Linked DNA regions of Sus scrofa. The protein of the gene in region 1 interacts with the protein of each later gene in a biochemical or structural test. Links are inferred from orthologs where the notes say so. Each region holds a gene or a part of one and is shown in the gene's direction. Other genes may lie near its edges.

What was found.
Region 2: of the proteins of SMURF1 (region 1) and SMAD5, one has a biochemical effect on the other in vitro, tested with the Homo sapiens proteins (3 studies listed by BioGRID, with this or other methods). The link is inferred for Sus scrofa from reciprocal best matches to the Homo sapiens genes SMURF1 and SMAD5.

Annotation. Positions count from the first base shown.
Region 1 is NC_010445.4:6,138,788-6,142,530, reverse strand, and holds the start of SMURF1 (E3 ubiquitin-protein ligase SMURF1), read left to right. Parts: upstream 1-1,152; 5' UTR 1,153-2,569; coding exon 2,570-2,864; intron 2,865-3,743. UniProt on the Homo sapiens protein: E3 ubiquitin-protein ligase that acts as a negative regulator of BMP signaling pathway. Mediates ubiquitination and degradation of SMAD1 and SMAD5, 2 receptor-regulated SMADs specific for the BMP pathway.
Region 2 is NC_010444.4:138,286,802-138,290,462, forward strand, and holds the start of SMAD5 (mothers against decapentaplegic homolog 5), read left to right. Parts: upstream 1-833; 5' UTR 834-1,426; intron 1,427-1,723; exon of another isoform or gene 1,724-2,457; intron 2,458-3,661. UniProt on the Homo sapiens protein: Transcriptional regulator that plays a role in various cellular processes including embryonic development, cell differentiation, angiogenesis and tissue homeostasis.

The DNA of each region.
Region 1 (3,743 bases):
GGGCGTCCGGCTCAGAGGTGGTGTCGGCGGCGGCAGCAGCGGCTCTGGACTGGGCTCGGCTAGGAGCGAGCGAGGGTCGGGGGCGCAGGGTCGAGCGCCGATCCTCCAGCTCGACCATCCACCAGTAGCCCAGACGCCTGGGCCGCGGAGTTTGTGTCCCGGCTCGGACCCCGGCGCCCAGCCCGGAGCCGTAACCTTGAGGCGGCGGCGGCGGGGCCGGGCCGGGCCGGGCCGGGGGGCGGCGGCGCTGGATCCGCGGCTGCCAGATCGTTGGCGGGAGATGTCGAACCCCGGAACGCGCAGGAACGGCTCCAGCATCAAGATCCGTCTGACAGGTACGGCCGGCGGGAGGGCCCCGCCGCCCCCCCAGCGCCCACTCGCACCCCGCACGGCCCCTCGGCAGCCCCGGAATTTCCCGCAGAGCGCCCTGGGGAAGTGGCCCTCCCCCACGCCGGCCGTGGTCCCAGGACCTCGTCGCCCTCTTAGGCTAGTGCCCCTCATCTCCCTCCCGGCCCCGCCCCCTCGCTGCTCCCCGGCCCCGCCCCCTCGCTTCTCGCCCCCCCATCCGCCCTCTAGCTTCTCTCCCCCCTCCACCTGCCCCCTCTCTTCTCCCCTCCTGGCCCCCTCCGGTTCACTCCCTCCATCCTTCTCGCTCCCGCTCCCTGTTCTCCCCCAGGCCCCTCGCGTCCCCCTCCTGGCCCCGCCCCCTAGCTTCTCTGCTTTTGGACCCCCTCCGTTTTCATCCCCTGCATCCTCTTTTCGCTCCCCCTCCTCCTTCTTGCCCCTCGCTTTTCCCCTCCTGGCCCCGCCCCCACTTCTCAACTCCCTCCTTCCCCTCAATTTCTTCCCTTTCCCCTCACCTGCCCCCTCTCTTTTCCCTCTTGGTTCCGCCCCCTGCTTCTCCTCTCCTTCCCACCCTCTGTCGCTTCCCAGTCTCTACCCCCACCTGCCCCCTCGCTTCTCCCCTCCCGGCCTTGCCTCCCGCTTCTCCCTCCTGGTCCCCCCACCACCCCGCCCACCGACTTCTCACCCCTCCCCCATCAGCTCTCTCGCCTTCCTCTCTTTACCACCCCTCCCCACTTGCCCCCTCGCTTCTCCCCTCCTGGCCCCGCCCCCTCACTTTCCCCCTAAGCCCCGCCCCTCATTTTCTACCTAGTCCCGCCCTCGCTTATCTCCCAGCCCCGCCCCCTTGCCTCCGTCTCGCGCCTCCACCCTTTCCTTCAGCCTCGAATTCCTCAATCCTATCTCCTAGCTTCTCCTGGTCTTGTTCTCATTTCCCCTCTGGTCCAGACCTCTTCAGTCTGGTGCACTTCCTTTCTCTCTCAAACCAGGCCACTGTCTCCTCTTGACTGTGCCGCTTCCTTTTCTGCCCTGCACTTCGCCGTCACCCCCTCACCCCCCGACATCCTTAAACACCGCCAACCCCCGCCCCCCTCACGCACGCTCTGGAGGCTCCGGCGGCTGCACGAACGCAGGCTCCTTGATTCACTCTCTTTTAGTCTTCAATGAAATGCCCGTGTCTCCTAGGTGGCTCTGTAGTGCCACCTTCAAGGGTGAGCGCGAAGCTCTGCTCTGGGCCTGCGACGTGGTGGTTTGGATGCGCGTAGCTGGCAACCGTCTGGCGGGGCCCCTCGCTAGCAGGCTCCAGCGATCCTGGACCAGTTTGCATCCTCGTCCACCCTTTCTCTCAGTACTCCACGGCTGCTGCCCGGTCTCCTGGGTTGAATTCCCACCTGAGGCCGAAATGAAATGCTGCAAATACAGTTCGGCTGGGGGACTTTCCAAACGTGCATATTTCCAGCTCTGGAAATGAAATAAAAAGTTCAGGCTAATCCCTGTCAGGGGTTTTCCCCTGGATTTTTTCTGTTCCGTGTCTGGTCTGATGATGACTCCAAAGTCATTCTGGTCAGATTCTTTCCAAAGGACAGTGAGCGTTTGGGATACTTTATGGCAAATGCATGGCCCTCAGTTATTGGTGAAATCCATGAAAACAACAGTGGGTCATTTTTTCAAACTAAAATTTCCTTTGGAGGTTCTTAGTTGTTGCATGACCCATTTTTTTTTTTTTGTTTCCAGGAAAGGGAGATTCGGGGATTTTTGTTTCTGGAGAAACAATTCTTTCTTCCAGGGCTGGTAGGAAACGCTCACTACGTAGATACAGTATATAAATACATTGTTATTTTTATGGTTACATAAAAACCACGTTTTTGACTTTGTAGTGCTTGTAAAACTTCAATTACTGACAACTTTAATTTGGTCCTCATTTACAATGTAATCTATAATTGACATCAGATTGGTTTCACTTTTCTTGTTAAAAGCAGAAGTAACTGATTTTGTGAGTTTGGGTGGAAGCGTGATTAATGTTTTAGAAGCACTAGGTTTTCATTACAACGTTTGTGTCAGGTGTAGATGTTTTAATCAAGCCTAGTTGGCAGGTCGGGACCTGGGCCTTTTTTTCCTGGAAGGGGTGGAGTGGGGGCTCTATCCTTCCTCCCAAATTATTTTGGGACTCAGGCACTTGGATGCCATAGGTTCGGAGATGCTTTAAGGAGTTTTTGGATAGTGTCTGATGTTGAAGGATTACGCGAGGAGAGTTATTTCCAAAGCACCTTTTCCCTTTCTCCCAGCTGATGTTATTACGGATCTGAAGGGAATCCCTGAGTTTGCTCCTCCCTGCAGCGAGATGGAGAATTTAGCTGTGGATGCAGACCTGCTTGATGCCAGGCGTCTGATGAACAATAATTTACTTGGAAAGGTTGGAACCAGATACTTGGTTGGCAGCGGACTAGGTTTTGGTCTCTTCTTTGAGCTTGCCAGGGGGAGTGGGATCACTGCTGGCATCTTGGGAAGCCATCTTTCAGGAGGTATGTGCTTTTGTCACAGGTTTCAGAGTTTATTTCCTTGTGTGATATTTGAAACCATGTTTTAAAACAAGGGTTATTCTAACCAGTCAGTTGATACCAGAGAGCATAGTTCAATGAAAAGTATGAAGACACTGGAATATAAGAGTGTTAGAAGTTGGCGACCACTAAAAGTTGTATTTGGTGGTGAGTGGAGTGTTGGGTTTAGAATTGGGAGACTCCGTTCTGGTAAGATCTACCATTAACTGCCTGATACAGAACCAATTATTTGACCCTTGTGAGTTCTGTTTTCTAATGTACAAAGTGAGATTTCAGCCCATGGTAACTTTCTTTTCTTTTCCTTCTTGAGGGCATATCAATTTGGCTCCCTACTTGTTCCAAATTACCATTGGCTTATGCTTTCTATTGTTGAGTGTCAATCCAGATATTCAGAATTGCTGTTAAAACCCAGCGCTTCTGTTTGATTGAAGCCAAGCGTTCCTTTTGTGTATGGGTTACATTTTATGATTTCTCCCCCACCCCCCACCCCCAGCCCTTTTGGTTTTTGAAAACTCTTGGGTAGTATGTCGCACTGCTGAAACAGTAGAAGAATGTTTGGGTCTTTATACTGAAAAGAATATGATTTTAATGAATGTCTTTGTGGTATTTTAACAGGAAAATAGTTTTTAAAGGGTTTCAGTAGGTTTGGAGCATAACATATGCAAAATCAAGTGATGTTTGCTGAAGAGCTGTCTTGCAGATATTTTAGAGTGCACCGGCAAATCAGACACTTTGGAAACTATTTTAAATTCAAGCAGGATTTGCAAAACCTTGTTCTTATGTGGTGCACAAATGAATCCCAGATACATTATTTGGGCCACTTTGGTAAAAGAATGGAATTTT
Region 2 (3,661 bases), on another chromosome or scaffold:
AGAAGATCTGCCAACCCTGGGTTCTTATTCCCACATTCCCCCATGGTGATGGTTAGCTGGGGTGAAATAGCAGCTGCCCCCTTTGAACAGAGCAGAGCCTCGCTGGTTTCCCACTCCCTCAGAGGCCTCTGTCCACGTCTGAGATGACTGCCTTGAATGTAGGGACATTTCCCATTGACTATATCTCTTCACCGTTGAAACCAACCACTGAAGCCTGGAGCAAGACAGCTGCTTCCCACTTGTTTCAGGTGAGATGACCTTGGGGCAGGCCACAGTGGTGGCCAAAGAGGCCACAGGAAATGGTCCGATTTGGGATATATTTGGAAGGTAGTATTAATAAGATTTCGCGACGGTTTGGTTTAGGGAATGAGAGGGAGGATTTGAAAATGACTCCAATTTTGATTTTGACTTAGATTGATTTGAGTTAACCCATAGCGGAATATGGAAAACCCGTATGGAAGTTTTCAAATAAAAACAAAATTGCCGAAAAGTCTTCTTCTTTCGTCGTCTCCAAAGTGGGTGCCTTAGAAGGTACCACTCTCGTTTTCTGGGACATGCTGACCCTTTGGAAGATGGGGGAGGGAGGGAGCTTTGAGAAGAGCCTCAGTATCTGAGAAAAGAGAAGTAGGCTCTTGTTTGGGGAGATGGAGTGGAGCTCTATCAGTCTGTGGGCGCCCTCTGCGCCCCTCGGTGTCCCCAGCTGTCCAGGACGGCCTCTCTTGCACTGCTGGGGTGTCAGTACGTGGACAGCCCTAGTTCGGGGAACTCCAAGGTCTGGCACTGCAAAAGGGGTGGAGGATGGTAGAGGCGCCAAGATTTCCACGTGGGAGGGGTTTTCAGGCCGCATCCAGTAAGCAGCTGTATCCAAGCAGCTTGTTTTGAACTTACTCTCTCCGCAGAAAGAGGACTCTCTGCCCTCAGATTTATATTTGTATTGCAAATCATTAAGCGGAGCTAAGGGGCATCTGAAGATGTTTTTATTTACACTTTATATGTGACTGAGAAAATCTTCAACCGTCCATGTCAAGGACAATTATTTTATTTTATTACAACGTGGGCTGACTTGGTTAATGGAGACTACTAGCGGTGGTGGGAACTAGCCGACTGCCACTCCTGGGCCTGGCCGTGGACACGGGAAGCCTCCACCAGATCCGCAGATCGGAAGCCGGAGATTGCGGGCGCCGAGCCAAGCGCGGAGGCTTCCTCAGCCGCCGGAGCGAGACGGCCCTTCCCTCCGTCCCGCAGCGGTCACTCGGCCGCTTGCGCGCATGCGCCGAGCCCGCGGCGTCCTCCCCGGCTCCTTCCCTCCTTCATCCGGGTCCTGGGCGAGCGGGCGCCGTGCGCGTGTCCCGCGGCCGAGCTGCTAATAAAGTTGCGCCGAGGGAAAGCGCGGCGACGGCGCCGGGAGAGCGCGCGCCGCCGGCCCGTGAGTGAATGTGGGGCCCTGGGACGGGCGGGCGAGCGGGAGCGGGGGCTGCGGGCTGTGCGGGGACGCGGCTCTGCCCTAGCGGCCGGACTCGGGCCGAGGCGGGGGCGTGCGGCCGCGGGCGGAGCGGAAACCAGCCGGGCCTGCGGGGCGGGAGGTAGGCCGAGCCCCGGCCTGCCCGGGTCCAGGCGGGCGCCCATGGTGCGGCTCGGCCGGCTGCGGAGGCCTGGCCTGCGGCCGGGGCCGTCCCGAGGCGGGGCAGAGGCTGGCCCTTGTCCCGACGCCGCCGTTACCGCCCGCACTGAGGCGGGAGGCGTTCAGGACGCTTCGCGGGGCTCCCCGGCCTCGCTTCGGTCCGGAGGAGCGGTTTGTTCTCCCTCTTCTAAGCGCCACCCTCAAACACACCCCTGGGAGGATGGCCGAGCTCGGCCGAGCAGCCGGGTCGGCCACCCTGCCAAGCAGCCCGGTGGCTCGATGAATCAATCCGTGCCGCCGTCGCTTTGTGTTTCAGTCCTTATCTTAAGGATCCACGCTTATCGGTGGGAATTACACCCTGGTTATTTGTGACCTGCCGCTGCACCCAGCTGGTGCTTCGACCTGGTTTGAGCCACTTGCCATGCCAGTTTTCATCCTGGCAGAGATTTCTTCTACTTCCTATCAGCTGCTGCAAGGCAAGCGGCAGACAGTGACTGTTTGCCTACAGCCTCTTCCACCCCTGCCGGGGTCCTCCAGTCGAGTGTCAGGACTCAGATTCACGGTCGGGTCGGCTCCCCTCCCCCTCCCTCCCCCTCTTTGCTCTCTTCCCCTTTCAGCTGCTGTTATTACGTGGAGTTTGGAGCCTAAGCTTTGAAAACTCCCATGTGGCGCCTGTCTTAAGTCGGAGCATGCTCAGTAGCCCAAACAGATTTTGGTTGCAAAAAGAACTGGGGCGAGGATAGTCGGGTATTTTGGACGTTTGCCCGCTTCCTAACAAAATGTTCCAGTTCTGGTTTGGATGGCATTGGAGAGTGGAGCTGTAGGCCAGCCTAGAGGTGAGGAATGCCTGAACACCCTGGGCCAGATCTCTATCTTGATTGTAGAGACATTGTTTCCTGACCAGCTGGAGGTCGGAGGGTGGGGTGGGGGGAGTTGGGGGGAGCATTCCTGGCTGCCTCTGCGTTTTTGTGGGTGTGGTACTAAGTGTATCTTGTTTACCTTATCTTTCTGTGGAAAAAGTTTTGAAGTCTCGTTAGGTTTGTCACATCATGCCTGTTGCCTAGCACCACCAGAAGTGTTCTCTTCCAGCAACAAAGACTGGATAGGTAGGAGGTTGTCCTAGGAGCCTTGGCCTTATAGAAGTTGAGAGGAAGGGTTTCTTGAGTTGCTGTTTTTTAAACTCTTTATTCTTTTTTTTTTTTTTAACTGGAGTAGTTAAATATCCTTCAATTAGAGTACCCAACTTGCCCAGAGTGAATTAGTTTCCAATATGCAAGCTGAAAGGTTAAAAAACTTCATCCCCAGAGGTTAGTAACCTTCCAAGCAGTTTCACATGGCTCTTACATGCCAGTGTTGTGGGGGAGAGGACCTCTCTACACAGTGTGACAGTTTCACGTTTTTTGATCCATATATTTTAATGAAATCATTGTGTTCCAAGTTAAGTAAATAAGGAATTATTTATAGATCTGAACACATTTTATATCCCTTCTTTTACTGCTACTTTGGTTAAGTTTTTTTCCTTTAAGGTGAATCTGAGATTACAAGAATACAGAACAATTCTTAAGAAACAAGTTAACAAAGTGTAACCTTCATAAAGGTTGTATAAATTACCTTTAGATTTTTTTTTAAATGATTGTCTCCATAGCCTCCTCCCTTCTTCCTTCTCTGCACTGCTGCTTTCTCAGTCGGTATGCCTTTGCTTTGCACATAGCTGCTTTTATCGCATAAACTTCAGCCAGTTATTTTTGTTAATAAAATCCATTCGTCATTTATGCTTCCATTCCTTTGAGATCACAGCTGAAATAGGCAATAAAAGTTAGATGAACCTTCCCAACTGACTTTCCTCTTAGATTTTAAATGCATCCATATGATGTCTATTTAAAATGAAGAAAAGAACAGGGATCTGGAAAAGAAAAGAATATTTTTGTAGGTTCTGTGCAGATGTGGTTATCTGCTTGTCTGGTTCACTGTGGTAGGCGCCACAAAAATGGGTAGATTGATACGTGTTGCATTTCTTTCCCCTCTGGCAAAGTGAGTTAT